4 linked regions of the Oreochromis niloticus genome follow. The main gene of each other region encodes a partner of the protein of the gene in region 4 in a complex. Links are inferred from orthologs where the notes say so. Each region holds a gene or a part of one and is shown on either strand. Other genes may lie near its edges. The genes, in order: thoc2, thoc6, thoc7 and thoc3.

Region 1 (7,974 bases), on a different chromosome or scaffold from region 4:
AACAGAAATCTCCACATGGGCTGCTTAATTCCCTTCTACCTTACAGCCATTGTTAAACATGAATAGTACCGTGTTTCAAAAATTAGACAGCACTTCTGAAATTCATGGATTTTATTTTTTAAATCTATTTTTGGTAAATAATTTTAAACCTTTTGCATTCTTTTTGGAAACTATGAGAATTCCCAAAATGGACGTGTGTGCATGAAGAGCAAGCTAAAATACAGTGACAGATGCATACAAGAATATTATTAAAGGAACGAGGGTCACACTCAACTCACCTTTAATTTCACTTCCATGATCTGCTTTCTCTGTAAGGTCTTTGCAGAGTTGTACACTATGAAGTAAAGAGAGAATTCTTTTTTAAATTAAACTAGAGTACAAAAACATGATGATGAAAAGCCTTATAAAGCTCAATGAACGAACCAGGATGCATGAAAACTTATTTAAATCCATTTGTTCCGTGCCAACAATTTCTACATAACATTATTCTTGTAATATCCCGTTCACTTCCTCCAAGTTATATTTTTAGATCACATAACACTATTGCATTATTTACGCCTTAATCCAGTCTTAACATTACACCGGATAAAGCTTTAGGTTTATCCTAATTATCAATGTAGTAACTCAAGAAATATTATATTACCTACATTGTCACTACACGAGTATTTATGCTGAAACTGCTGTGTGTGCATATAACAATAGCACTGGCTCTTATGTTTGCTGGATTGATTACTGACTGAATCTTTGGGCGGGACAACCCTTACCTTTTCTGTTGCCAAACACTCACACAGATTTATAGTTAGTATTTACTGAGTGCCATGTTTCTCCCTCTTAAACTGACTGTGACTAGTCCAATAGCTTAGCTGGTGGATTGAAAGACTTACGGTTCACCCAGTTGACAGCTTGACTGGTATTAAAATATCAGAAGTAGTGATGACAAAGGCAGACTAATCGAGCACGTTCTGCCATGCACATCCCATTCATTAAAAGGTATAATTACACACACTGGAGCACACTAGCTCCTTTCCTCTGTAAGAAACTCAACGCAGTCCATCAGCTTAATTGTTAGAGATAACAGCTTGTCAGGTGCTAAACACACTGTGAACAAGAAGTGCAAATGCTACAAAAAGTCAGAGTTACAGCAAGCGGACACCTTGGATTGCCGGAGCCTCTAAGGTCAAACGAAGCAAAGCTGCTATTTGTATAATGAGGCTGACAACATTTTCACCACTTTAAACTAAACCCTGGCCTCTGGGACTGGTTAATTGCAACTCAACTGGTATGACTAAATGATATTAAAAAAAAAAAAAGATGTAGATCCAGAGGTCCACAATGTTTTATATCAATGAATTATAAGGTCAAAAATATTGGTTAAGTAATAACAATGTGATACTTTTAGTATCAACACGAAATCCACCTTTTCATTTACTGCCTGTCATCACAGAGGATGGCATCTCACTGTGCTGCCAAATAACACTTCCACTGCAATGTACTCAGCTTTGGTATAACGGGTAATTTGCCTTGATGGAAATACTTTAATGGTTACCCCGTAGTTGCAACTGTTTGGCATAATTTCCAGTTAAAGTGCTATCAGTTATTGACACAAGATAGTGGAACGAGAGTTTGAGTTGGTGCATCCCACTGCAGGCCTTTCTTAAATATGTAAGGCCTACAGCACATAATCGTAGCTAGTACTGTGGATGAGCCTATTGTGTCTCAGCTCAAAGGCGATGGCAGCGCACAAAATTAATGCGTGAAATTATCATTCACGCAACGTTTTTCTTGTATTTTTTGTTCTAAAGAAACTAATTTTAAGATAACAGTCGCCGTACATCAAGGTGTTGGGAGAGGCTTTTACAGTACTGCTTAAATTATTAAGTTTGACATGTAATGTTAGTGATAAAGTTGACTCTGGTAATCGAGATGCCTTTATACAGCACCAAGCGCACAGATGTGCATCGATGAATAACCTTGGCTATGTCCACAGTCTCTATGCAAACCGTACAGCGGCTATCTTACACCATTATCTAGGTGAAATTAACGCCAGCTAAGAAAAGTATGACGTTAGCTGTAGCTAGGTTAACATTATGATTAAAATCTTCATCTCCTAAAAAAATATATCGTCAAATGATACGTTTTGTTACACTGAATCAAAAAGCGTCATCTTTATTCTTCCAGGCTTCCCCGCCTAAACATTAAAGCATACGAAAAGGAATTCAACACAACAATTAGTGTAGCTAACGTTACGGCTAATCTGCTAAAGCGTTTTGTCAATGTCCGTTGTTTTCCCTCCACACGATTATTTAGTGTTAAGGTTTATAACAGGCTGCCCAAGGGGTTTTCTCGCCAGCTGATTCTCGGTTGTCTGCTCGAAGTTGATGGCTGCTAATTCCTTGAACTTTGGAAGTACATTTACGCCAGTTTACTGGATAGTGCGATATCGAACCAACAGAAGAGTATGCTATGTGTATGCTAGCTCGCTTAGCGTTAACAGCCATAGTGTTTACACATTGACGGCGAATCAAATGGGAGCGTAAAGCTAGCCTGACTGCTAGCAGACAGCATTAGCTTCCACGGTGACGTTCAAAGCCATTGAAGTCTTCTTTTCACAAGTCTACCAAATTAACTATATTCAATACTCAGCAACTAAATTACACGTATTGTTTTTTAAGTAAGTGACACTTGTAAGCCACTTTATCTTTTAGCTGCTTAGCTAAAGCTAACACACCTAAAGACCGGCCTTATATTTGAATGCTAGCTACGTCATTCTTGATACTTTTTATTCGCAAACAACGGGTAAACAAATGCAAAATTCAACACTGCGTTGAAATTCAGATGCACTCACAACTCATGTTTTCCTGATTTTTCCCAGTTTTTGATCCATTCACCAGGAAGGGTAAGTGTCGCCATCTTCCATGCACACAGCCCGGATGTCTAGTTTATCATCATGGCACACACAGGGTCAAATGTGGTGGTTAGCCGCCGCTGCTAGATCACTGTTGCATTGTGGGACATCGACAGCTGTGCGTCCGAGGTTTTCACACGGAGTGGTGGTGATGGTCGTGTAGTCTGGGAATAAGTTTGATTCTCCACGTTGTACTATTTAACTTTTTTAGTTAAATAAAATCCCGTGACACTTGAACAACCCAATTTAAATCTACCGGTAACATTTTCTCTAAGAACTACCTAAACATAACAAACTACAGGACAGCTGCGATTTCCATAATCCTCCGGTGCACTCATGTTTCATCAGTAAAAGCCAGTTATAGTTACAGTACAGGTGTTCTAATACCATATCAAATCATATTTATTGCTGTGTTATTAAATCATCACACAGTTGTAGAGGGTTTATTCTGTTCATGTTACATCTCCAGACATAAATACAAACAGTAAAGGATGCAATGGGCACTTTGTAAATAGAATATAAACACAAATTTAATATATGCAAATATTTAAATATGTATAAACGTACAGATGTTTGCACATTTTCAGCAGTTTGATGCAAAACAGAAAAGCTCCAAAATGACATGAGTCATGTAAATTTACAGGCAAGTCTAAGAGGTGTTTTTCTCATTTGCCTAACATGAATAGTTATTATGTATGTGGTAATGTTTAAGACCAGATGATTTGATTCTCCAGATTATAGTGACACTCTGAGGAAATAAGGTATTCATTTTCAGCTACAATATGATTACACCTTCTTCCATAAAGTCTGATTCTGCCAGCCAGGCCAATACACAGAGGAAATACCGGAACAATCCACGGTAAAACAAAGAAAAAAACAATGCACTGTGTGTGCACTTACAAATTAGTAGATTAATGTCAAAGACTTACATTCTTTTCCTTTGACAATTCCCCAAAATTTCACACAAAAAGAAACAGTAAATATAAAATGAGCACCGATTCACAATATATTACACATTTGTAACTGTATAATATACAATTCTGATACTATGATTGTTGGCTAAAGAATTTAGAAGCTTTGTAATTTAGAATATTTCTATAACTCTTATACACGCAGCAGTGGCAAACCAACCAAACTGGCAGTTTGAAAAACTATTTCTGAACACCTGCAAATAGGAAAAACAAAACAAAACCAAACAAACACACATCGTTCTCAACCATTTTAAAAATCCTTTCTTTTAAAGATTGCAATCATGGCATGTCTCTAATATTAGATATTACTAGATACTATACAGTGGAAAAAAATAGTTAATATATAGGAGAGATTACATATTTGAGGTCGAGTCAAAATTTTACAACATTGTGATTTCTTCCAACATTAAAAAATAATTTTAGATGCAGCCTCAATTTGTCAAATTACTACATCTGAGCAATGAGGTACGTTTGTACCCGTTCGCTACAGAGAGACGAAAAGAAAATACAGCTGGCCACATCTATAGTAACATAATCATTTCCTTTAAAAAGGATCATTTTAATCTCTATGTGAAATAACATGATTAATAGAAACCATTAATTTACATTTGATTGTCATTACAAAATATCTATAAATCAAAGTTATCTAGAAGGTATAAAAGCAGAACACATGTCTCTAAAAAATACCATCACAAAGAAATCTGAGAATGCTGTATATATATAACTTGTGGCAAGGCCTTTAAACAGTATGACACGCCAGTTCACATTATACTTTACTGTGTACATGTTTCGATATATGGCTACATGCCATGCCAGAATCTACAGTTTAAAAGTTCAGAAGGTGAACAACAATACCACTGACACCCTTCCAATATAACGCAGTAGCCATTTAATAACTGCTGCCATTATGAAACATTATATGTTCAGTGTATGTTCAGATTGCATCAGAGAGGGGGTTCGTTTACACCTAAGATAGTTTCTCGATGCAAAGCTTAAAAATAACCATCCAGCTCAATTACCACCTCTGTAACAAAGTGCAGGGTCATTATAGTGTTCAACAATAACTGAACACTACAAGCATCAAAACAGTAGTGTTATTCTGCAAGCCTATTATATTTTCTGGTGTTCATGAAATTGTGTTCACCCTCCCTGTATATTGGCCGCTATGTATTTACAGACATTTTTCGTCTACTTAAAGAGTTTAAAGGTATACATCATTCAATTGAATTTTGGCCTGTTATTGTCCCATCACCATGCAAACTGCCACACAATATCCGTACCTGTAACGCTTCACACATTATAACAAGTGTAGCCAAGTGATAGCTGGCATCAAGTTTTTTTAGGGCAACTGAACAAAAACTGAAACATCTCTGCCGCAGTGTGACCAAAATCCGGTGTGTGAAAATAGCAGAATAAAATTCAAATCCAAGCTCAAGCACTCCTAAGTTTTAACAAAGTGTTAAAGAGGCAAACATTGGTGTCTCACAAGCCTACTTAGTCCAGTCCACTCTCATTTATAAAGAGTCATTTCACCGTCCCAGGATTTCGATGACATGCTGTCCTTTTCATATTAAAACATTGAAACATTGAGAACCTAAAGGCAAAAGAAAAAAGCAGTGTTAAAAATTCAGAACCAAATAAAAACAAGCATATATTAAGTGTACAGGATGAACAGATGAGAAATATGTGGCTGTTTTTACACCTAAAGCGGTTCATCCTTTGGGTTTCTTTAATCAAATGGTCATAAATAACAAGAAAATGGACTCCTACCAAATAAGGCTAGGCATGTGTGAACTGTACGTTGATCTATCATGCTTACTTGGGCATTCACTCAAACAGTTAAGAAAAATCGTTTCAAGAACATGAACTTATCTCAAGGACTGTAACCAGTGCCATCCAAAACACAGTGAAAAAGTTATTATAAGGAGTGAAATACTCCTACCGAATCATCCATGATGGAAGATGGATCAAAGTAATCTGGCTTCAGTTCGGTTCTTTCTCTGCGATTCTTTGATGCCGGCTGAAAGGTAACAGCTCAGTTAGAAGAATACTCCACAAGATGAAAAAAAAAAATATACAGTTAAAAAAATTATAAATTTTAACATCAACATTTGTTTTTATTATTTATTTATTGGAAGGACTGGCATGACCAGACTACTGAAGGATGCTTACTCTGCTAACACATGATTCAGATTATCTCGGAAATTTGGTTCAGTTCATCTGGATGCTGCATTTTCAGTGGGAGAAATGTTTCATTACTCATCTCCTGCTGAAAATGCCACATCCAAATCAGCTGAATCAACTTCCTAGGATTTCCTTACTGGAATGATTAAACATGCATCTAGACAAATTTAGACTATTGTTTTTGGTTTTTTTTAATTACCAAATCGATGTCCATTGTGTCAAAATCCATGCCCTCATTGATATCTTCCAAGCGGTCTTCAGATGACATCATCACATCCTCCACTATTGGCTCCTCATCATCCTCCATGAGCCCAGAGCCTCGACGACTGTGACGAGTAACAAAAACATAACACGTCAGTAGACTGCTTTTTGTCAGACTCTTTATTGGCTCAAAGTTCGGCCAAAAACAGTTAAGTGTTGAACTTCTTACATTGCTTGCTGCATGTGGTTCCTCATCTTGGCGTAGTGCATGCTAACCCGCTCTTGCTGCTGACGGGCTTCAGCTTGTTGCCTTTGTGTCAGCATCCAAGTAACCTGGGTACTGTGGAACAGGGTTCATTACTTCATAATTCCCACAGTTTTAAAAAAGTGGCTTTACATACTGTACTGCAACTAAAACCTCTGCGGACATGTATGCAATAATGTAATACATATATTTTTTACTTGTAATCAATGGTAGTCTGGTGTTGAGGGTGTGGCTGCTGCTGCTGAGGGGGCACAGGCTGATGGGGATGCTGCTCTGCTGGCATGGTGAACGTGGCTGTGAAGCTGTCCTCTGGCCTCATTTTCTTTGGATCCCTCAGTACAGTGGAAGTTAGATGGGGTGAATGCATCATCACTGGCGTTTGCACATTCTGCTCACGGTTCATCCAAACCGCATCGCTGCTGCTACTGCTGTTCTCTTCTGCCAGAGAAAATCATTTGTTACACTCCTTGAATTTTACTGAACACACGCAGTGGCCATAACAATGAGTGAGCTGTTTGATTTATTATTAAAGTGGCAGGCTGTGATGAGAATTAACATGAAACATTTTGCAAGAGGATCCTAGGAGAAATACATGTCCCTAAGAGAGAGACGCATTTTTATGTTTACGAGTGACGTTTGAAGGTGAATACTGCACCGTATTCAAATTCACGACGGCGTATTCGCTCACAGAAAAACCTTACTTCAATCTCAGGGAGACTTTAAGAAATACAGCAAACAAACTGCTGTGTCAGTCATGGAATCCAAAGAAAATGTTGTCACCTTAAATGCAACTCTACTAACCAGCAGCTGTTTTGATGTAGATGAACTCATGCTGCAGATCAGTTGTTGTGGTAGATGAAATAAATGGTTCACCAAAGAACACCAGAAATGCTCACCTTCAGGCAATTTTCTTTTGCTGGCAGTGGCTGGCTTGGATTTCTTACTCCTGACGGTGGACCCTCGACTGCTGATCCCACTAATTACAGACATAGTGTCATCGTCTGCTCCAGCCTGCAGGGAATTTCTGTATGAGATGAGAGGCAGCCAGCAGTCTTCTCTCTGCAGGGCCATCTGAAATGTCATGAATCGCTCCAAGTACATGTGACTGCAAAAAGTGAAATGACAGTAAACATTAGAGTCTTTTTAGAAGTTCTCATCATTTTCATGCTCACATTACTCATCATGCTGCAAACTTACACTGTCCTCTTGTCCTGTCGAATTAGTTTGCTAGAGAACTCACTCAGGATATCCAAAAATGCTAAATTAAGCGGTGGACTTCCTTCTCCTTGGGGACTTGGCTCTTTAAAGGCAAACTCAATCCCGTCTCTAAAATAAACAAACAAGACATGACATATGAAAGTTCCTGTTCATTAGAGCAAATGATGTTTGGGTTAGGGAAATGACTTACTTATGTAACATGGCAATAGCCTCTCTTGTCTTCAGCTGAT
Region 2 (7,589 bases), on a different chromosome or scaffold from region 4:
CACATCACCATCACCATCATCCTCACCATCACCATCCTCATCCTCACCATCCTCCTCACAGTCCCATGTTTCCTGTGAACTCACCCCACACCCTCACTGCTCCGTCCTCTCCCCCCGACAGGATCTCCGCCTCCCTCTCTCTTACAGTCACGCAGTGGACGTAGTCCGAGTGACCCTGAAGGACGGTCTGAAGACACAACACAAACCCGTCACCATGGAAACACAGAACTCCCCCAACAGATGCTGCCATGAAAATCAGATTGAACAGGTGTGAAACAGTTCAGTGCACACACGGACGTCCAAGTAAAAAAACTGCAGTTCCTCTGACGTCCAGCAGAGGCTCCAGCAGTGAATCGGTCCCCACAAACTCACACGTTAACAGCAGAAGTCATCATTCACACACACACACGGATGACAGTGACATGCTGTAAGGAGAAAAATACCTCAGCGGTTATAACATGAAACGTGGAGTCAGTTTTGTTCCCCACTCACCTTGAACACACCGTTTTCCAGGTCCATGACATGGATGTTGTTATCGCCTCCTCCAACCACCAGGCTGTTATCCTGACACAGAAACACAACTCCTTATGACACATTGGAGCGACACGTCCGACAGAAACACAAATATCCTCATTATCATCAGAAAAAAGGCCCAAAAATGGAACTAGCCCCCCAGTGCATGCTCCATCCCTTCTAAAAACACCAAATTAAATAACATTCAAACTTAAAAAAGAGTAAAGAGTAAAAAGAAGTGTTTAAAAAGTCAGAATAATAAAAGGACTTCAATAAAAAATACAAAAACAAACAAAGGGGTTTAGTAAACCAGCGGCTCTGACGATGACGATGAGGAGGATACTCTTCATACTGTCACAGGTTTGTGTTTTATTTCAGGTTCCAGTCTTTTCTGTTCGTAAAGGTGGGCCAGCTTTAATGCGATGAAGAAAAGCAGAGGAGAGAGGTGGAGGTGTACTCACTCTGGAGTTGATGGTCATGGAGTTGATCTCTGGGATCTCCAGGCTGGATCTGTAAGGAGACAGCAGATGTTTGAGTGAGGAAGGAGACAGGAGGCAGACGGGAAGCAGACAGGAGGCAGGGGTGGAAGGCTGGTTCTCACTTGTAGTTCGGTCTTCGGGTCCACAGAGGTTTGACGTTCTGAGGAAGCAGAAACACAAAAATCAGGCAAACTCGTTTTTCCTCTCCGTCTGTGTGTCCCTGAAGGCGTTCTAGGTTACCTTCTTGGTGAGCTCGCTCCAGCTCCAGGCGCTGATCTCTCCATTTCCCGCGCTCAGCAGGTGGCAGTCAGTGGACAGAAGGGAAAAGACCGGCCCCTCATGAGCTGCAGGACAACAAGACCAAAAAGGAATCTGTGAGGACAGTGTGTCCAAAATCAACACGGACACAATGAACGGCCACTAAAGTCCCAATGAAACCATAACTCCCCACAAAGCTGCAATAAAAATCACAATAAAATGAGCCTCAAAAATATTGACTCACAAACACACCTGGAACTCCACCTGGTGGTGTAAACAGGAACTACAGCATTATTTTTTACAGTGTGTCATATTTTTACTGTTGGTGAGCTGCGTCGAGCTTAGACTCAGAGGTTTCTCTTTCTACCTGTCTAAATCACCATGGTAACTGATGCTGAAGCCCTCACCTGGTCAGACGCAGGCTTAATCCTGAGTTTTGGTTTAAAATCAGCTGGAACCTTCACGTTTTCACTGATTCTTTATTTCTAGTGTCTTCAGCATGACGCAGATGTTTGTCACCAAAAGGACTGAACGACGCTTCAGCGCCTCACAGGAGCGTCCAGTGTGACAGGATGTTTAGCGCTCATGTGCAGGAAACAGATAAATGTTTGGTTCTATCACAGAAACAAAAGGCTGGAAAGGTGAGTGTGTTTCATGTGAGTGAGCTCAGACTTCCTCGGTTCTAATCACGTTGTTGTTTTTTCTGCCACTGTTCGAGTGCAGGTGTAAACACCAACAGGTACGCCTGTGATGTCCTCGCCATCCTGCAGAGGCTTCGTGGGTTTAGGGTGACCTTTGACCCGAACACTCACCTGTGAAGGTCAGAACGGGTTTCTGGTTGAGCGCGGTGGAGTCTGGACTCAGAGCTGCAGACAAACTGGAAAAAACAGCATTGAGAAATGAGAGGTGTGGCCCTTCAGTGCGAGTGAGCGCAGGCGAGTCGAACCAGGTGCGTTTGACTCACCTGAACACTGCGATCTCGCCGTAGTTGTTTCCAGCTGCCAGGAAGCGACCGCAGGGAGAGAAACTCTGAGAGAACACGGACATGTGCAGCAGCTGCAGACACAGACAGGTGCGTTAGTCCAAGCACCACAACACAGGTGAACAACCACACCTGTGCAGGGACATCTGGGTAACTTAAAGTTACCACGTGGTGCAGGACATGCAGTCATGTGACGTCACCTTTATTCGCCTGAGTGTAAACATTCCAATCAGCTTTAAATAAGCAGTTTGTGAATAAACGTGCATGTATCTATAAACAGATGACTCGCAGCAAAGGTTGTTACTAATACTGATCACTTCCGGTCAGTAAATCTATCGCACATCACATTCACCTCAACTTTTTAAAAAGCGACTAAAATTTAAATTCTTAAATTTAAATTCTTAAATTTTAGTTAAAGACTCGAATTTAAGTTCAGTGGAATTTTAAACGGAGTTCGTTTTGAGTCCGTTTTCCGGTAAAACAGAGAAAACCTGAAACTAATCTGAGCTCGTTCACTTCTTTGTTGATTTTTCTATCGTTCAGCACGAAGCTCGCTTTACTCTCAAACATCAGCCGGTTTCTCTATTTCCTGTTTCCGCTGAGATAAACGTTGTAAGCCTCACCTCCACGGGACCCATGCTGCTCACACAAACTCTCCGAGCTCCTTTAAGGCGAACACGGCACAAAACACCGAAACAGAAGCAAAGGAACCAAAACTCAAACAGAGGAGGGAAAGAGCGGACCAGGGCGAAGGAATGTGACGTCACCAACACTAGCCCCGAGGATTCTGGGAGATGTATTTTAGAAGCGACAAGCCTCTTCTCCTCAGCGGCTTGTCCTCCTCTGCACATCCTCCTTCACTGCATCCACGAACCTTCACTGAGCTCTTCCTCTTCTCTTCCTGTCATCAGCTTCATCATCATCGTTCTCCCTCCTCTGCACACGTACAGACCGTCTCAGCCTCCCTCCTCCCTCCTGCAGATCACAGAGACGCCTGCCTGGTCTCATCAGCCATCCCGTCGATCAGCATTGCAAACAAGCAGCGGGTCAGAGCAGATCCCTGATCTACTCTCACCTCCACCTTCAACCACCTCACCGCTGTCCTCATACGTGTGCTGCACCACCCTCACATACTTCTTCATGGTTCCTCGTGCAGTACCGTCAATCATCTGCTTCCTCTGATCCACAAACACACAGAAGCTCCTTCTCATCTAAAATTCTCCATCAGCACTAACATCACAGCTCTTCCTCAGCATGAAGCCACACTGCTGCTCGACAATCATCACCTAGCTTCAACATCTCTGTTGCACATGTTGGTGGTGTGGCTCACCAGTGTCATCCTCTCTCCTAGACGTCTCCACACCTGCACAGGTACACTGTACTGCCAAAAGTATTCACTCGCCAAATCATTGAATTCAGGTGTCCCAGTCACCTCCATGACCACAGGTGTTTAAAGTCAGCAGCTAGGCATGCAGAAAGAATGTGTGAAAGCATGGCTCGCTCTCAGGAGCTCAGGGAACTCCATCGTGGCGCTATCATAGGATGCCACCTGTGCAACAGGTCCAGCTGTGGAATTTCCTCACAACTTAACATTCCACAGTCAGCTGTTAGTGGAATTATAACAAAGTGGAAACAACTGGGAACACCAACAGCTCAGCCATGAAGTGGTCAACCGTGGTGCGAGGATGCGAGGCGCAGAGTGCACAGGGGTCGCTGACTCTCTGCAGAGTCAGTCACTACAGACCTCCAAACGTCATGTGGCCTTCAGATGAGCTTAACATCTGAATGCAGTGGTGTAAACCACGCCACTACTGGACTCTAGAACAATGGCGGCGTGTTCCCCGGACTGACCAATCATGCTTCTCCATCTGGCGATCTGATGGACGAGTCTGGGTTTGGCGGTTGCCAGGACAACGGTACTTGTCTGACTGCGCTGTGTAAAGTTTGGTGGAGGGGGGTTATGGTGTGGGGTGTTCTTCAGCAGTCTTCGTGCTTCAGCAGACCGAGACACTGTGGACACCTTCATGTTCCCAGTATGTGGGAACAGTGTGGGGATGGCTCCTTCCTGTTCCCACATGACTGCACACCAGTGCACGAAGAAAAGTCCATAAAGACATGGACGAGCCGGTTTGGTGTGGGAGAACCAGACTGGGCTGCACAGAGTCCTGACCTCAGCCTGATCCAACACCTTTGGGACCAATCAGAGCGGAGGCTGTGAGCCAGGCCTTCTCCTCCAACATCACTGTGACCTCACACATGTGCTTCTGGAAGAACGATCAACACTTCCCATAAACACTCCTGAACCTGTGGAAATCCTTCCAGGAGACGCACAGCTGCACACAGACATATTCACTGGAGTTCATGGCAGAACGATGGATCTCATCCGGACCAGTCTCTTTCCACTCTCCACCCTCGTCTTAGCTGCTCTCAGAGTTATCATAGTTTTATACTCTCAAATGATTTTGTATTTTTATTTCATTTTGAGTTTTTAATTCACTTTAGTTTCCAGAGCACATTTTCTTGTGTCGGTTCAGTTCGGTTCACAGCACAAAAAATCATCAGCTGCCCCCTGCCCTCCTTGTCTGCTGTCTACAACTCCTGTTGTCTCAGCAGGGCCAGAAACATCTCAAAGGACACTACCCATCCGGCTACCATCTTTTCAACCTACTGCCGTCTGGCAGGCGCTTCAGATCCATTCAGGCCAGGACAAACAGACTCAGGGGCAGCCATCAGCATACTCAACTCAAACTTGCACAAAAGTGATCTGCACTGAAATATCATCAATTCTCTGCCTGTCTGTCTCTGTCATCTAGTACTGTACTGTGTATTTATATTTATATTAAGTGTATAGTTAAATTATTGTATAGTTTTTATAATGTGCTAAAGCACTTGTGCACTTTTATAGCACTGTTTCTAATCTCATTATACTATGTATAATGACAATAAAGGCTTTCAGTGGCTCTGACCTCACATGTCATGAAGACGCTGGAGAGACTCGTCCTAAAACATCTGCGGCTGCTGGTGGAGCCTTGGCTGGACCCCCTGCAGTTTGCTTATCAACCTCGTATCGGTGTGGAGGATGCCATCATCTACCTGCTGGACCAGGCTTATTCTCATCTGGACATTGTTGGGAGCACTGTGAGGGTCATGTTCTTTGACTTCTCCAGTGCTTTTAACACGATCAGACCATCACTGCTGGGGAATAAGCTCACGGAAATGCAGGTGGACGCCCCACTGGTAGGTTGGATTACGGACTATTTAACAAGTCGACCACAGCATGTCCGACTGAAGAGCTGCCGCTCAGATAACATCCTGAGCAGCACAGGGGCGCCACAGGGGACGGTCCTATCACCCTTCCTTTTCACCCTCTACACATCTGACTTCAGGTACAAGTCTCAGTCATGCCATCTGCAGAAATTCTCAGATGACTCTGCCATTGTGGGCTGTATCAGGGATGGACAGGAGGAGGAGTACAGGAGTGTGGTGGACAGCTTTGTCGAGTGGTGTGAGCTAAACCACCTACAACTTAATATCACAAAGACAAAGGAACTGATTATGGACTTTAGGAAGCAGGCTCCTCCTCCTACCCCTGTCACCATCAGAGGGGCTGACGTGGAGATCGTTGAGGACTACCGGTACCTGGGGGTACACTTGGACTGTAAACTGGACTGGACCAAGAACACCAATGCTATCTACAAAAAAGGGCAGAGTCGGCTTTTCCTACTGAGGCGGCTCAGGTCCTTCAATGTTGGTAGGAAAATCCTGACCATGTTCTATCACTCGGTGTTGGAGAGCGTTGTGTTCTTTGCAGCTGTGTGCTGGGGAAGTGGGGTGAAGACAGCTGATGCCAACAGGCTGAACAAACCGATTAGAAAGGCCGGTTCTGTCCTGGGTGTCAGACTTGAGAACCTGGAGGAGGTGTCTGAGAGGAGAATGCTAAAAAAGCTTCTTTCTATCATGGACAACCCCTCCCACCCCATGCACGCCCCCATGATGGACCATCGGAGCAAACGCGGCAAAAGACTCATTGCCCCGAAATGCAGAACTGACCGCCACAGGAAATCCTTTGTACCGGTGGCAATAAGACTGTTTAACTCTTCCTCACTCTGTAGGTGATTCTCCTGAGACTATTACCTATGTTATTCTGTTCCCTCCCAGACCGTGCAATATTACCCAAGAGTACTTATTGAATATTTGTTTTCATCCCCCCATCATACGCTGCTACTCCCTTCATTCTATTGCACAATACTTTGTCACTTTCTAGAATCGCCTGCACTGATAGTTTAGTTATTTATTCACCAGGATATAGTTATGTATATTACTTTGTTAGAGTTATCCGATTATTTGTCTTGCACTATCCTACTGTATATTACTGTACACTATTCTTATTGTATATATATTGTATATCTTATATCTATTTCATCTGTGCCTCGGTCTCTCCTGCTGCTTTGAGCATGTACATGACAAAAGAATTTCCCTCGGGATAAATAAAGTTGTTCTTATTCTTATTCAATTCAATTCAAGTTTTTCTTAGTTTTGGTCTTTCTAAGTATTATTATTGGCATGAGTCAGTGCAGGTATTAAAATAAAACAGGATTTTTTTAATTTTTTTTTTTTACCAAACTTACAAACACATTTCTTCTCTATTATTGTTTTATTTTGTTTTATTTTGTTTTGCAAGTTTACAAAATAATTCAATTTTTACTTGAGTTGATTAAAATGATTTTTCACACTTGGCTTCAGTTAGCTGTGATAACCTCGGCTGACCTCACTTCCTCCATCCTGCTCTCTTGCTTCATTCATCAGCTCCACACAGAGCTCCTTCCATCTTTCCGTCTCTATCTTCACCTTACCACAGGTGCTCGTTAACCTGACCATCTCATCTTTACGATGTGCATGTTTGCTCTGACATCAGATGGACTTCCTGATAAAACCCTCCTAGTTTATCTGAACCAGGACTACACTGGCTTGTGGTCCCCGTGTGGCTGGGAGACATTGTGATATTTTGAAAAATAATAAATATAAGACAACAAAAGGGAGATAAACAGTGTTCAATCTTCATAATGTGGGAAATTTTGTACAAAAAAGGGAAAAAGTGCCGATAAAATGTTGTTTCAGTTTAAAACATTTTGGTATTTGCCACCATCTCACCAGTGCAGCTGAATCATGTCGATTAGATCTGATTAGACTTTTATTGTGAAGTATTACTTGATGGGATTTTTGGGATTACTTTATCTTCTTTTATTTTGGTATAAGTTTGTTTTTTCTGACAGTCAGCTGACTGATGAATGGACCAGCTGAGGATTGCCTTTCTCTTTTACACAGCTGACTCACATCAGTAATTAAGGGGATTTAAG
Region 3 (7,971 bases), on a different chromosome or scaffold from region 4:
AGCAAAACAAATAGTTATAATCCAAAAATTTTAAATTATTATTTAAGTTGAAGTAAACAGTTCTGTTTTACATAAATATAAATCAACAATGTAAATATGAATCTAAAATTTGGTGAATAAATTAAACAAAGCAGGTGTGGACAAGTCAGCTTTATTCAAAATACATTTTAAAAAAGTATCAGAGACAACAAAATCAATTAAAATCAAGTTTTGTTTTAAATTCAGGATCTCCACATATTCACTCTCCGTTCTCTGCAGGGCTCTCCTGACTGTTGTCGTCATTGTCTGATTTCTCATCGTCTAGAAAACAGAAAATTGATCAGCGAGGCGAGGTGACACCAAATGTGCTAAGATGCACACTTTAACAGCTACTGAGACTAAAAAGCACTCACTCTCAAGGGTCTGCTGAAGCTCCTGTATGGTACTGAGCAGCACATGGAACTGCTTCTTCCGCAACTCCAACTGAGTGGAACAAAAGCAAGATTTTAACAAGCAGGAATTTTTACTGCTGACTAAAAAATATTCAAAGTTAAAACTAAAGCGTTTAAGAGATATTTTGGTTTTACCTTGGCATCCACATTCTCCTTAATGTGAGACAGCTGTTGGAGTTCTTTATCAAGCGCCTCAAGCTGCCTGCAAAGAACAAAGTAAAACTGAGCTCATAGCCAGATCATCACAAAAGCTGAAAGCACACAAATTGGATGCATTTAATTTAATGTAAAAATCTGACTAAACAGAAGGCAAGGACTGACTTACTTTAGTGTTTCATGTCGGTCTGGGTGCTGCTGGATAACCTTAGCTAGAGCATCATACTCTGGAAAAAGTAAGGAAAGAGTGAAGTTGGACAAGTTACATCTAATATGCATAATGTACTGGTGGGCAAAACAGAGTTTTGTGAAGTAACAGAAGAATTTTAAGGTAATTTTATATTGTAATGGGAGCCGATGAAGTTCCTTCATTACTGGGGTAAAGTGGTCAAATTTCCACGTACCAATAAGGACAGTAGCTGCAGCATTTTGAATCATCTAAAGACATCCTGATGATTGCAATAATCTGACAAACTTGACATGAACACATGGATCAAACACATGAGTCATTTTGAGATAAGAATTTTCTAACCTTTGATATATTTTTAAGTGATAGAAAGAAGTTCTGGTAACCTCACTCATGTGGTTATCAAAACTGAAACCGCCATACAAGATGATGCCAAGGTCCCTGATTTGCTCACGGTGTTTCAGAGAAATGGATGGTAAATAGAAAACAATTTTTTTGTCCCGGACTTTTGGGACCAACAAAAAGTGTTTTGGTTTAGGCTCTGTTCAGTTCTAAAAAGCTTTATGGTTCTTTAAGTCAGCACCAAGTGGGAGCATGTAAAAGTTAAATAGTAATGGACCAAGGATAGACTCTTGAGGAACCTCTGATTGAATTTGTATTTGTGCAGATCTAAAACTACTAACTGAAACATAAAACTTCTACCCTTTTGCCATGATGAGAGCCAATCAAGAGCCTGACCTGTTAAACCAACTTTGTCCTGAAGCCTATGAATTAGAATGTCATGCTCAACAGTGTTGAAAGCAGCAGTGAGATCAAGAAAAACTCAAACTTAAAAACTTTCAGGGAATCATTATTGATCCTCGAGTCACTGATGACTTTAGTAAGAGCTGTTTCTGTGCCGTTGCCTGGTTCTCAACCTTGATTGGTACTTATAAAAACTATGATTTGAAAGGTATTCATTCAGTTGTTTGTAAACTTTTTTTTCCAAATACTTTGCTGAAGAATGAAAGATTACAATTAAGGCTAGAATTATTAATGATCAATGGAGCCAGGTTTTTTTCTCTTGAGTAGCAGTGTGATTACAGCACATTTAAGGGAAACAGTGAAATACACATTTGAATATTTTGGTGGGGTTAGGGTCAAGTAAATAGGTGTAAGGCTTTAACTGATGTCAAGATCTTTAGAATTTACAGGTGAGAATTGACAACAGCTGGAGATATATCATGTAGAAAGAGTACATAACAAAACGTGAGTCTTTTGTCAATAGGACAGCTAACTGAATAGCTTTCTTACCTTGGCGATTCTTTCGTATCCTCTTTGCCCTCTGAATTTCTTTTTTGCATTCTGCTATCTTCTCATGTGCAGATGCAATGTTTTGTTCTGTAGTATGGGGAAAAATTAACGAGTTGGAAAAGCAGGTAATACAAAATGTGACTCGTAAACAGTTGCGAAGATAAATGGACAGTCTCACAAAACCCAGTCCTACCGATGTTGGAGTAGATTTTCTCATAATTCTCCATTTCCCGAAGATTCATGTCGTAAACCATCAACGTCTTCCCCATGGAAAATTCACACTGCGCCAGAATGCCCAGCATCCTCTGATACTGTGTGAATCTGAACAGAATTACAGCACTTTTTATGACTCAGACCAAATTCTTCTTGGCGATTTTAAAGAAATGCGTGGCAACCGAGTCCACTGATAGGGTATGTAGAGCTCGCTTACCCTTCCTCCGGGGTCCCGGGAGAGTTGCACCATTTCGTGAAACTCTTCAGGAGCAAATTGATTCGGCGGTCATCTCCGGCTCCATCACCGTCAATGAGAAGGCGTTTCCGTATAACTTCATCTGGAATACGGGCGAAATAACAGCCATTCAGGTACAGCAGGTAAAGAGAATACATCGGCTAACAAGGCTACTTGATGTTAGCTGTATCCAAAATAACCCACGTCTCCATGTAAAACTGGTTCGTTTTTTACGGGTATGGGTATGTGACTGGGTATAGTGGTATTTCTAAAGGTTCTGATAATTGTTACTACTCATAGGTGGTATGAATAGCTAATATAAATGAAGAGAACGGTTACTTACCATCTGTAACAGCCCCCATGTTTATGGTTCGGCTTTGCAAAACTTTATTGAACAGCAGGAAGTGGACAGTCTCCTGCTCTTCTTCTGTGGTTTAGTCCTGGGTTGGCAAGCTAGTTTGAAGAATTACCGCCACCAATCGGACTGGAGTGGACAAAAATAGATTGCCATTGGATATTTTATGAGACAAGTGAAACCTTTAGTTGGAAAAAAAAAATGCAGAGCGTTTCTTTTTGATAAAACTTTATATGATGAGTGTTTTTACTTTGGGAAGAGCAGAAAAACACGGAAGTATATTGTTAAAACCATGTTTTGGTGATGACATGATGACTGATGACATTTATAGAGTGTCTGAATTTGTGTCATGAACCATCGCACTAAACTGATTTTTTTTTCACACAGACGTATAGCTTTCTTATCCGTTTTGTAATAAATTCTGCAAAGTGATATAAGTGTGAGCTATTTTTCTTAACTGGCTTGCATACAATACTGTGCGAAACTACTAAACCACCCCTCATTTCTTTATATTGTGTTAGAGAAATGGGAAATAGCTTCAGTGGTTTATTGAAATGTGTGCAAACATCCATGGAAATATAGTATATAAGGCAAACACTGAATTTATATAACTTCAATTCCAATTTTACAATTGCAGTTGACTTGTCTGTCAGTGTATGATTGCCTTTATTCTTCAAGATAGCCTGAACTCTCTAAGGTAAGGTTTCCTCTGAATTTCTTTAAGCAGTCCTCAGGAATAGTTCTCCAGGCTTCTTCAGAGCTCTTCTTTGGATGTTGGCTTCCTTTCTTTCTGTTCTCTGTCCAAATGATATCACACTGCATCAATAATGTTGAGGTATGGACTCTGGGGAGGCCAGTCTATGACATGATGGTGTTCCATTTTGTGTTTTTCTATCCAGGTATACTTTTACTGCACTGAAAGTGTGTTTGGGGTCAATGTCATACCGAAAAAAAAAGTTGTTTGCCAATCAGACCCTTTCCATATGGTGGTGCATGGTGAATCAAAATTTGACGGTACTTTTATGTATTCATATTTCCCTCAGTTTTAACAAGATTCTTAACACCACAGGCTGAAATGCAGCCCCAAACCATAACATTCTCCAATGTGTTTTACTGATGGCTGTAGGCACTCGCTGTTTTAACTCTCTCCTGGCCTCCTCCTTACATAGTGATGATTTGAACCAAAAATGTCAACTTTGGGTTCATGACTCCAGGATATCCATGCCACTGCTTTTTTCAATTCAGTTCTTGTGTAATTTGGCATATCTCGTCTTGTGTCAGGTCTTTGCATTTTTTCCTGTTTCTGCAGAACATGTCTCTTGTCCAGTTCTCTCTACTTTTTTTAAGGACACTGCACGTTTTGACACCCTGCAACCATGTTCAAATTCTTAGGGACTCTTATTTGGGCAGGCAGTTTGAAGCATTCGCTGATATGAAAACTGCAAATAGAATCATCAATCAAACCTTGTAATAAAAAACTCCTTTAAGAGTGTGCTGACTTTGCATCAAAACTAGGTTTTAAAACTTTTTTTTCCCCCCACAAGCAGTTACACTTCCACCACCATTGCTTCTCTCATAGATTTTAGTTCAGGATTCTTTCATTCCCATATAATAGTTATCTCTGTTTTTGCCCGTAATTATTAGGTAATCGATTTAAATCGTCTAAATCGAATTAAACACATGTTTGGTGAACATGTTGTAGTATTTTTTTATTTATTAATTTTTTAAAATTGCAGATGTTAATTATCATGTTTTCCCTTATCACATATCTCCCAGGCTTCATGCAGTTGTAAATACTGTATTTAACAGGGGAATAAAATAAAATAATAAATAAATAAATTTAAATAAATAAATAAATAAAATCTCCTGGTGGAGAAGTTCGGCGGTGCCATGCAGTCATTGGTCAGTTCGCGCTTGCGTCGTGGCGCGGTGACGTTTTTCTCTGTCCCAGAATGCAGTCTGGTAAACAGACATGGAAGCACCAAGTGAAGACCTCCACAGAGGCTGAGCACTAAACTCGCTCTTTTCCACCGTCTTCTGTCTCCTTCACTCTGTGCATCCAGTTGATATATATCAGCCAGGTGTCAGACTTACGTCTACAGGATCCAGAGCCTTGGTAAGTGTGAAGCTGTTGTCGATATGTGACCGCGGCTAATGACTTCTGCTGGGCTGTCAGGCTGCTGTCAGCTTCCTCGCTGGCGCTAGTCATGGCTGGCTAACGTTAGCCAGCTAGCAGGCTAACGTTAGCCATCAGTGCTGTTTAGTAACGTTTGTACCAGTCACAGACCCACACTGGATTAAGCTTACTGTCATGACACAACGGCTAATAGACATTTGGTCTGTTTTCAAATACCGTATTTCCGGTGAAGGTTAATGTTGTCTTTTTTTATTCAAAAAAATAACTACGATAGTGTAATTAGTGTCGAGTAGAAGTGGCAGCAATTCTAGCCAATACAAATTCTGGTTCCTGTGTTCTCTCTTATCTATGTGTCAGAGTTGCACCTGTCTGCCAATGACAACAACTGTTTTTCTAAAGAAATGACATAATGGTATGTTCTTCCACTCATGGCCTTTAACGTACTCATTTCGTAAAGTCAAAACCACAACCGAACTAAGGCTAAGCTACGGGTACTGGTATGTTTATATTCCGTAAGAATGTTATTAACATTGTTCCTAACCGGTATAGGCCTTTTCAGTGAATCTATATAAAGGTGGAAATCCAGCATAACCAGTTCCCCATTCCAATCATTGTGATAATTGGATCATATCTTTTCTGTCTGAATGTCATTTTATTTTTCATGTTTTTATGTAGCTTTTGTTATTTAGCCACCCAGTTGAGAAAGATAAAAACAAAAAAATAAAATAAATAAATTAAGCAGATAACACAACAGATGACATCGGCTGCTGCCATCGTAAACATAATCTTACATGCTGGTCAGAAGTCAGTATTACTGATGTTCAGATGATATATTAGTGTATTCTAGGCAATTTTTCGGATATAATGATAAACATGTTATAAGCCCGTATTAATACTGTGACACTGTAGAGGCCAGCGGATATAATGGTGGCACTAGCTCTTTGCCACTTTATCAGTGTTGGCATTTATAAAAAAGAGATGTGAGAATTGTCTGTTAGTATTGTTTGACAGCACATGGATACAGAATCAAATGTAATACTAATATTTTAGTTCTGCTGAAACTTTTCCCTTCTGCATTGTCACAAGTCAGAATTTTTGTTGCTGTCGAAAGGTTAAATAGCATGTTCCACAGTCCACCCATATGCCAGCGTTTACATAATACTCTGTAATTGTTTCCCACTCTAACTTATTGAAAGTTAACAGGAAAGTATTGACTTTTAGATGTCTATACATGTAGATAGATAGTCTATATGTATTACGTGTTGTCGAATGTGAGAATAGCGCAGATAGTACTGTGGTGAATTTACACTGAGTGACTGTGTCCTGTGTCCTCAACCTTCCAGCCAGGCAGCTTGTTCACCTAAACCACACTAACTATTAACAATTAATAATCTTCTGCTGTGAGCTAGATGTGAGAAGAGAAAACACTGGACAGTCTCCCGACCTGACTCTCTGAACATTTTCCAGACTTGATGTGTGAAAATAGTTTTGGACTGCCACTTTTGCAGCAGTAAGATTCTTATTTTTCTTTCTGCTTTTGCTAAAAGTTGTTGTGTATATTAGCAGTACACAATTTTTTTTAAACCTGTAGCACCAGTAAATCCTGGAATTCAGGTCTCCCTGCAGTGAATTTATTTTGATTCTGTCCTCATTATAACAAATCTTTGACATTAGATAACTTAAACTTAAGAAGTGTGGTTTAGTTCTGACAGTATTTAGGTTGTAAGTTTTAAAGGGCTGCATCAAAACAAGCAAAACAACATTCGATTAACAAATGTAAAGTTGGTGGAATCCATATGGTACAGTACACTACTGAATAAACAGCAATATGCCTTAAATGTATGAAGACAACAAAAACAATAAAAATGTCTACATGTCTTTAAAATGGATTCCTGTAGATGTATGTGTTGCTTTATGTTGACTAAGTTGATCACTAAGGGGGCAGGAATGAAAGTGTTTTTTACACATAATTCAAAAATTCCACCTACTAACTTTAGAAAGGAAAAGGTGTGGTATAGTTACATCTTCCCTCAATGCATGTCTGTGTATGTCTCCAGATTTCCTATCCAGTGTGTGTGTGCCAGCCAGGAATCACCCAAACTGATGTGGATCATCTGATTGAGTTTAAAGATAAATTCCTTGTTTCTTGTTTTGCCAAGGTAAGATCTTGCTGCTGTTCATTTCAAAACTCTATTGACATGTGGTGGTTTTTTTACGTTTCCTCAGCTGCAGAATAATCATACCTAGCCATGTAGTACTTCCATCACAACGGCCCAACACTGAATACAGTTTCTATTGTAAAGTATTCAGTATCAAGGAAGTGTTGCTTAATGAGACTACAGCATCACTGAGTTGCATCTGAGGATATGCTTTATACTACTTGTTGTATTGGGTTTTAAGATTTTTTTTTTTTTTTACTACTATATGTGTATGAATTGTTTGAATTTAAAAAAAGACGAGCAGTGCAGCTGCCCCTCGGTAAGTATCAAGGAAATTACACAAATTGTGTAATTTCAAGACTTCTATGTTGGACTGCTTAGTGTTACAGAGGTCTTCATTTTTACAGCATCTGTTCTCTGTATGTTGCTTAAAAGATTCAACATCAGCAGGCTGATCCAGCGTCCGCTAATCTGCTTTGTTCTGTTCTTTGAACTCACAATAGATTTTGATTAGAATCACTGGATTAAATCATCTGAGATGATTACACGCTCCTGCTGTGTTTGACCAAGTGGCAAATTTTGGGCTAGAAAATGAATCCAACATGGAAGTGCTAGATAAATAACTGGCCATTTGAGACTGGCCCCAAAAGCAAGTCAATCTTTACAGGCTGTTATGTTAAAATGTGCAAGTAAATGACGGTAAGACATCTTTATAGCCTGGTACAAATAAACAGTTTATGCCTCATAGACAGGTAAGCCTCTTTCATAATGCATGGTCACTTTGATTGGCAGGTGTGTGGTACAG
Region 4 (7,129 bases):
GCGGGCTGAGTGCCCCATCTGACCCAGCAGGGCCCAGGCTTAGCCCGGAGAGACGGGGGTCGGGCCCGGGGCCGGTCGTAGCCCGGAGGAAGAGCTCGGACACGGGCAGGGAGAGGAGGTCCTGCAGCTCTCTGTCTGAGAAAGAAACAGCCGAGTCTCCAGTCAGCAATGGCTGCATCAACAGGTGGAGCAACACTCGTCACAAGCATGCCCTCCATCCCGTCCTTATACTTTCTAATCCAGGTGGAGACACCATCAGTATCCCTGGAAGTGCAGCAGCAGCTTTCCAAAGATGGAGGGAATTCCAGTTTAATAGAGAAATAAATCTTCTCTTGTTATTTCCTTTATGCTTTAATGTATCTAATCTAAAAACCTTTGCATGTGTAACACAAACACAGAGAAGAATATTAGAAGTCATGCGGTCAAGAAGGAGGCTATGTAGTTAGCTGCAGTTTTAGAGTCCAGGTTCCAGCACAAGGTTGATGCTGACCTGGTCTCCACAATTTACAGCGATTGCTGCGCCTCGGCTGTTCTGGGTCTCTGACGTGTCGCTCGCTGTCTCTGCTCCACAGTGTCGAGGAGGATCAAATCAAGTCAAACGGAGTCGACCATGCAGTGCCCGGTGATGATGCAGACGCCGCCCTCTCTGCCGGCTCAATCAACGGCAGCGCAGACGCAGAGTGCTAGGATGGACTCTGAGTATCTTCGGTTTGTGTGTTAATTGACATAAGAGTGATGAGATCAGATGATTTGCAGAGTGTTTGCCTTTTGTTTACTGTGTCAGATCAAAAATGGAAACGTTGACTTTGTTGTACTTTTGTATTTATGTTTTTTTGGATTTACACTAACCGACTAACAACTCGCTCGGATGAAGATGCACAGGTAACAGAGCAGTAAGAGCTAATGCACTGGTGACTTTTTAAAAAAAGCAGGGCTCAGATAAGTGGAGGTGATCAGCCATTGTAGAAACTCCAGCTGCTGTATCTGCTGCTCCATACGTACCGCATGAGGCTAACGCGCTCACATTCAATAAAACTGACACTCGGATTTTTGTAGCTGTTTCTAAAAACACCAAAAAGTCTCAAAGGAGCCAAAAGAACAGCTGTTGGCTTTTCTACAACGGCTTTTATCGGCCGCTCGCTTCTCTGATGATTTTTGAACATAAACCTGTGGATCCAGGAGGAAGGATGGGCTGCACTGTACGAGGGAAGCTGCAGTATTTTTGCACAGATCCTCAGTTTTCTTCAGACACTTTGACTTGTATAAAGACTGCAAAGCTTTAGGTTGATTTTTTTCTATTTGATGCACAAAGATTCTGCTCAGCGTCACTTTGTGTCATCAGCAGGAATGCGCTGTACTGTTATAGAACCCAGTTCTCTGGCTTCTCCTGCCTTGCCTCCACCTCCTGTCATTTTTCTCCTGGTCAAGATAGAACTGTGCAGCTGGCATCCTCAGCGGCGTGAGCATAAATGGTTTTTCTCTGTTTATGACCTGCAGTTGCAAATAGAGGAGAAACACTCTTCTTCTGCTGCTTTCAAACAAACAAAACACTTTGTCATGGGTTGCTTTTGAGGCATGCACCACAGATTCTGCTGTGTTCTCCGGCAAACCAAGCAATACCAAATGTACCAACAGGCGGATGATTGCAGTTTTTTGGTAATGTGGGGATGTTAAAGTCAAAGCTTCTTTTCAGACGTGATCTAGTCAATGATGAAAGCTGTGGATGTTTCAGAAAGTTCCAGATGAAGTAAATGAACAGTTTAGTTTTGTCGTGCTGCTTTCAGCTGACTGCAGCTCCACCTGTCCAGGCGTTTACCTGAGTATGAGCTCGGGCTGATGAAAACACCTGGGAATCATTTTTATAGACAGGGTTTAAAAAAAATCAAACGCTTCCTGCCTTCACACAACTTTCAGTCCAGGTTTCAGCATGTCGTCATAAGTCATGCAAGGTGAGTAGGAGGGAAACACAGAAGTGACATGTGACTGATATTTCAGGTTTAGAGGAACACGACACAAGCTTTTTAACCATACGTGTCACAGAAATGTTCTCAGGGTCCATGGGTCAGACCTTCATCAAACCCACTTTAGGGGCCTCAGTGAGAAAACGATGAGGAAAGACGGAGACCGTTTTTTTTTTCTGGTTAAATGAGCTAAGAATAGAAGTGCTTTGGAGGACTTAGGGTGCTTGTGTACTTTTTCTACCTCTCCATACACCTGCATCTAAACCTCAACGTCCTGAGTTTTAGTCTGTATCGTGAAAACTCATGAGATCGTGTCATAGTCCACCAGAGACAAGATGTCTTCCTCCACTGAATCTGCACCGAGTCCAGAGACCTGTGTGCACGTGTCCTGAAACACCGTCCTCGTTCCTCACCACAACAGTTGACTTTTATTTTGTAGGGCTTGCTGTCTTTACATAGTTTTCCTGGCACGTGACGCAACATTAAAACAATTTTTTACAAGTATGCAAAAACGTAAAGCACATTTATGTGACGCTTTCACTGCTTGTCATCTTTTCTTAAAACACAGAATCACATTTAAAAAGTGCATTTTGTTCCGTCCATTCGGTGTGTTTTACTCTAGTGCAAAAGGACCACACACTCAACATCAGAAGCTGCCTCAGGCCTGAATATTATGCATATTGAGGCCTTGCACAGGCCTCCGGACGGCAGGGGAGTCCACCTGCAGATGGTGCAGGTTTTGGGTCCTCGCATCGATTGCTTAGTTGGTAACCAAGTGGCTTCTTAACCGAGGGATATGCCGTATTTGACAGAAATGGGGTGACTAGATATTGTGTGTGTTTGAGATATAAATGGAGTGTTGGTTTTTTTTAAACATCACTTGAAATAAATTGGAATTCAAATAAAACGAGAAGTTTCTGTCTTTATTTCAACAATGAATTTGGAAACCTGCAGTGGTTACATCATTGAAAGATATGATGAATGTGTGCAGAGTCAAAGATCACATGTGTGGTAATATGAACATATAGCATTACTTTGAGTGACAACATTACTGCCACTGAATCTTAAAGTCATAGACCAACATGTGAAATATGTCACAGAAGATGTGGTAAAGTTCAAAGGGCATACAAATCTCTCCCTGCACAATCAGTGGATGGATTTATTTTTGTACTCAAACCCATCACGCTGTTGGTGTTCAGGTAGGCCTATGTGCAAAGAACTGCTGTATTTTCTTTAGAAGATGGGAGATAGTAAAGCATTTTTTCTGCATAATTTACAAAAGGAAGGAAGAAAATAAAAGCTAAATATTTCTCCATAATTTACCTAAAAGCAGATCGTGCCACTTCTTTCCAGTTCTTCCACAAATAGTCACAAAAAAACTTTCATGTATAGCTTAACCCACTTTAAACTGTATGATAAAACTATCAGCTGTAGCACATTAAATGCACATAGGCTGCAAACCAGACAGCTATTAAACATTCAGTGTGTTGTGCATAGGTTATGTCATGTTATGCATTCCACATTATTAATAATGATAGAAACAATACAATGAAGCTGAAGTAATTTTTCTTTTCTGGGATTTAAACTGAAGATCACTGACTGAGCTCTGAACTATTTCATGTTTTACTGCCATACAGAAACGAGGATCTGACAGTTTGTAAATTATGGATGATGCTCATTCTAAATTTATTAAATAGCCCATTTCCCCAAAGCTCAAAGAAACCTGTTTAAATTAATTCATAAGGTTTATGCATCTGAAGTTGAAGCCTGGCTTCACGTTTTTTTCACGTTGTTTTTAGTTATTAGAAAATGCATATCAATTCAAATAAATGACGTCACAGTTTGAGATTGCTTATATATTCTTTTAAATGGATAACTTTAACTTTTCTCTTTCCAATTTGACTGATTAATCATTCTTATGAGCAATATCCTGCAGTAATAAGGCCTTTTCATTTGGTATTTAGAACGATTTAAATATTTTATTCCTTGTATTAAAAAATACAGATAAGATAGCTTCACAGACACTTTGTTTCCACTGTTGTTTTCTGAATGTATTTATGTTACAGGAGAATATTTTATAAAGGTAACCGTCTGAGAAAAGTAAACAAGTGTCGGTCCCCTCCGAACCACCAGATGGCGCGCAGGCGCCCTTAAACCCACCTACAGTCGGCCGCTGTTGTTACGTAGGAATCCAAGATGGCGTCGCAGTATTTCCAAGAGATGCAGGAGAGCTTTAAAAATAACAGCAAAAGCCGCGAATTTCCCGCTCATACGGCTAAAGTTCACTCGGTGGCGTGGAGCTGTGATGGCAGGAGGCTGGCCTCCGGGTCCTTTGATAAAACAGCGAGCGTCTTCGTGCTGGAAAAGGACCGTTTGGTGAGTCACATAGCGGCATGTTGCTAGAATGCTAGCGTTAGCCTGGTTAGCTCGCTACCGTGAATGAATGAAAGTTTGACGTTAGAGAGCCGACTGTCACAAAGAACACGGTCCCCCTGGATAATCTCTATCACTCAATAACTGCCACTAACTGAACAGCCTTGTAGTTATTGAGGAATTTACGTCATTAAGCAGAAACCTATAAGCTCCGTCTGCAGCCCAGCAGACAGATGAGTCTGTGCTGACACATAACTGCCTGCTCCAAAGCAATACTAACTAAGTTTTTTATTCATTTTAATTATGTATATATTCACTGATTAGTATTGTTATCACTGAAATGTCCAAATTTATAAACTTTCATATTTATGTAAAGAGACATGATCAAATCAGAAAGTTAAACAAAGTCACCGCCCTCAAGTTTAAATTAAAACGTTCACATATACATGCATAACTGGATGCTTTTTTTTTTTCTTTCCACAAAGTGTGACGTGTAAGATAATCTGAGTCAGATTTCTAAGAGAAAACTTTACAGGTGATCGTCTCGCTGGGCTGCTTGTGGATGTGCTCTGTAAAGTGGCACATGATGGATGCCTGATACAGGTGATGTTTTTCTGCAGGTGAAAGAGAATAACTACAGAGGTCACAGTGACAGCGTTGATCAGCTCTGCTGGCATCCCACCAACCCGGATCTGTTCGTCACAGCGTCCGGAGACAAAACCATCCGCATCTGGGATGTACGCACCACAAAATGCATCGCTACCGTCAACACGAAGGGTAGGTCATAAAGACTGAGGTCATAAAGACTCCTAAATCAGCTTACTGCAAAACTTAAGAATTCATTTAAATGTGATTCTGAAACCCAAGACTGCCACAGTTTCAGACATCATTCATTTATGCTGCTCCCAAAAATTTATAGTAGAAAGAATAAGCAGCAAAGGCATATAGATCAAATTATTGATGATGAATTCATGAGTCCGTACCTGCTGATTCATTTTTCCCGGGTGGTTTCTCCTGGGAAGCTTCTGTAATTTGAACATCCCTCGAATCTCATTAAAAATAATTGTCTTTAGAGCAGGGCGATATGACCAAAAATATTTATCACGATATACATTTGAAAATTTGCGATAACGATATAACTGACGATATAATTGAGACTAGACAAAATACTTTACAACTCCACAACTTTATTAGTGCAAAAAACCCCATCAATGTATTTTCACTTAAACAAGCAGCTGTTTTTTATGTGCATTAAAGTTATATAAAAATGTAACAGTGCAAATTCCTTGCTGACAGTTTAACCAAAAGGCATTTCCAGTGGAAATTGGCTGACATATCCTCAGCATAACCATGTAGAATATCCACAAAAGAGGTTATACACACACAATACGGTAATATTATGTTGAAGCACAGTACGTATCACTCCGCGAGGCTCCTGCCTACGATAGCCGTAATGCTCCGACAATCCATCAAGTGGTGTGGCTTCGTAGCTTAGCAAAGTCATACTAAAACATCTGACAGATTTTCGAGCGCCGTGTACATAAAATCATTTCGAGGTCAGTAAACACAACCAGAATTCATACATAAGGCGCACGGGATTATAAGGGGCACTGCCGATTTTCAGAAAAATCAAAGGATTGATTTTAAGTGTGCCGATATTTTATTTTCCTATCGTTGCCCAAAATTACACCGGTATTACCGTGAACGGTATGATATGGCCCAGCCCTAATTGTCATACAAACTTCTGTAAGGCTTGTTTGTCTGATGTTATCCTCTAAACACACAGCTCGCATTAATGCTGAATGAGCTAGCTGCGCTCTTAGCTGCAGTGCTGCTTACTGTGACTAGATGGTGAAGAGACTCTTTAAAAGACACTGACATAAACCATTGTGAGTTATAGACTTGAGTAAAGCGGGAAAGATGTTTAGTGAGTCGAGAAAGATACGATAGTCTCACCGTCTGAGGAAAGTCTGCTGGGATGATAGTGGGCACTTTTGTATCGGTCATTCGAAATGACCCCCCCCCTACAGGAGTCATGACCCTTCTTTAAACCTTGCTCATCACTGTGTGATCAAAACTGAATCTTTGCCTAAAGGTGAGAACATCAACATCTGCTGGAGCCCAGACGGTCAAACCATCGCCGTGGGGAACAAAGATGACGTGGTGACTTTCATCGATGCCAAGACACACCGCTCCAAGGCAGAGGAGCAGTTCAAGTTTGAGGTGAATGAGATCTCGTGGAACAACGACAACGACATGTTCTTCCTCACCAACGGAAACGGCTGCATCAATATTCTGAGGTACGGAGCAGATTTCTGCTCACGTTCATTCCTGACATGCATATTCACGAAAAGCTGAGCGTCATGTTCTCCGTCACTTCTCACACACCAACACCAGCCAGCTGCTGAGTGAAAGTGTACAGCTAAAGGTTAGGGAGTTTGATTTTTCTTTTTTCAAATCAAGGACAGAAAACGTCTACGAGCTGATCCCAGAGCTTTTGGGAATGGTCTCCACTTCATGGTGGTTTGGCTTTAAAATGTGTTTTTGCATTATTAGAAAAACAGAGGAAGTTTTCTATCTGCTCCTAATTCTTTCTTTGAAAATGAACACGCAAACACTGCAAGTCAATAATAAGTAAAGGTCTGAAGGTATTTTACATTGACTCGCGTTTCTCTTCACCTGTGCACGAACCACGTGGACTCCTCTGAAGCACCTGGTGTCAAAATCGTGTCAGAGTATTCTGATTATCTCCGTCATATATAAATGACGATCTGCGCTCATGAAATAAACGGTGG

Evidence for each region.
Region 1: the proteins of thoc3 (region 4) and thoc2 are in contact, whole or in part, in a cryo-EM structure (PDB 7ZNL), measured with the Homo sapiens proteins. The link is inferred for Oreochromis niloticus from reciprocal best matches to the Homo sapiens genes THOC3 and THOC2. Residues at the interface, in NP_115737.1 of Homo sapiens: Asp193, Met196, Ile208, Val217, Gln218, Asn221, Ala222, Pro224, Ser225, Ala244, Asp245, Ala246, Leu247, Ser249, Trp251, Asp252, Asp254, Glu255, Leu256, Val257, Cys258, Val259, Cys261, Ser263, Leu265, Asp266, Pro268; in NP_001075019.1 of Homo sapiens: Tyr395, Arg396, Pro401, Lys402, Gly403, Ala404, Lys405, Gly406, Ser407, Pro446, Ile447, Ala450, Arg454, Cys500, Asn501, Ala502, Cys503, Met504, Glu506, Pro563, Arg566, Gln567, Lys570, His573, Tyr603, Leu604, Thr605.
Region 2: thoc3 (region 4) and thoc6 share a complex: the UniProt entries of both Homo sapiens proteins name them as parts of the transcription/export (TREX) complex. The link is inferred for Oreochromis niloticus from reciprocal best matches to the Homo sapiens genes THOC3 and THOC6.
Region 3: thoc3 (region 4) and thoc7 share a complex: the UniProt entries of both Homo sapiens proteins name them as parts of the transcription/export (TREX) complex. The link is inferred for Oreochromis niloticus from reciprocal best matches to the Homo sapiens genes THOC3 and THOC7.

The regions. Positions count from the first base shown.
Region 1 is NC_031975.2:10,792,666-10,800,639, reverse strand, and holds the start of thoc2 (THO complex subunit 2), read right to left. Parts: upstream 3,001-7,974; 5' UTR 2,911-3,000; coding exon 2,846-2,910; intron 335-2,845; coding exon 279-334; intron 1-278. Other genes in the region: stag2a (cohesin subunit SA-2a), read right to left, coding at 5,447-5,470, 5,819-5,896, 6,260-6,386, 6,491-6,601, 6,724-6,964, 7,423-7,631, 7,724-7,852, 7,935-7,974. UniProt on the Homo sapiens protein: Component of the THO subcomplex of the TREX complex which is thought to couple mRNA transcription, processing and nuclear export, and which specifically associates with spliced mRNA and not with unspliced pre-mRNA.
Region 2 is NC_031969.2:34,256,385-34,263,973, forward strand, and holds the start of thoc6 (THO complex subunit 6 homolog), read right to left. Parts: upstream 3,015-7,589; 5' UTR 2,871-3,014; coding exon 2,856-2,870; intron 2,307-2,855; coding exon 2,215-2,306; intron 2,128-2,214; coding exon 2,063-2,127; intron 1,337-2,062; coding exon 1,233-1,336; intron 1,153-1,232; coding exon 1,115-1,152; intron 1,024-1,114; coding exon 975-1,023; intron 565-974; coding exon 493-564; intron 188-492; coding exon 85-187; intron 1-84. UniProt on the Homo sapiens protein: Component of the THO subcomplex of the TREX complex which is thought to couple mRNA transcription, processing and nuclear export, and which specifically associates with spliced mRNA and not with unspliced pre-mRNA.
Region 3 is NC_031970.2:28,885,060-28,893,030, forward strand, and holds thoc7 (THO complex subunit 7 homolog), read right to left. Parts: upstream 3,007-7,971; 5' UTR 2,878-3,006; coding exon 2,859-2,877; intron 2,619-2,858; coding exon 2,498-2,618; intron 2,389-2,497; coding exon 2,261-2,388; intron 2,155-2,260; coding exon 2,068-2,154; intron 815-2,067; coding exon 757-814; intron 634-756; coding exon 567-633; intron 463-566; coding exon 393-462; intron 301-392; coding exon 239-300; 3' UTR 136-238; downstream 1-135. UniProt on the Homo sapiens protein: Component of the THO subcomplex of the TREX complex which is thought to couple mRNA transcription, processing and nuclear export, and which specifically associates with spliced mRNA and not with unspliced pre-mRNA.
Region 4 is NC_031966.2:7,006,881-7,014,009, reverse strand, and holds the start of thoc3 (THO complex subunit 3), read left to right. Parts: upstream 1-4,123; 5' UTR 4,124-4,157; coding exon 4,158-4,337; intron 4,338-4,954; coding exon 4,955-5,111; intron 5,112-6,429; coding exon 6,430-6,634; intron 6,635-7,129. UniProt on the Homo sapiens protein: Component of the THO subcomplex of the TREX complex which is thought to couple mRNA transcription, processing and nuclear export, and which specifically associates with spliced mRNA and not with unspliced pre-mRNA.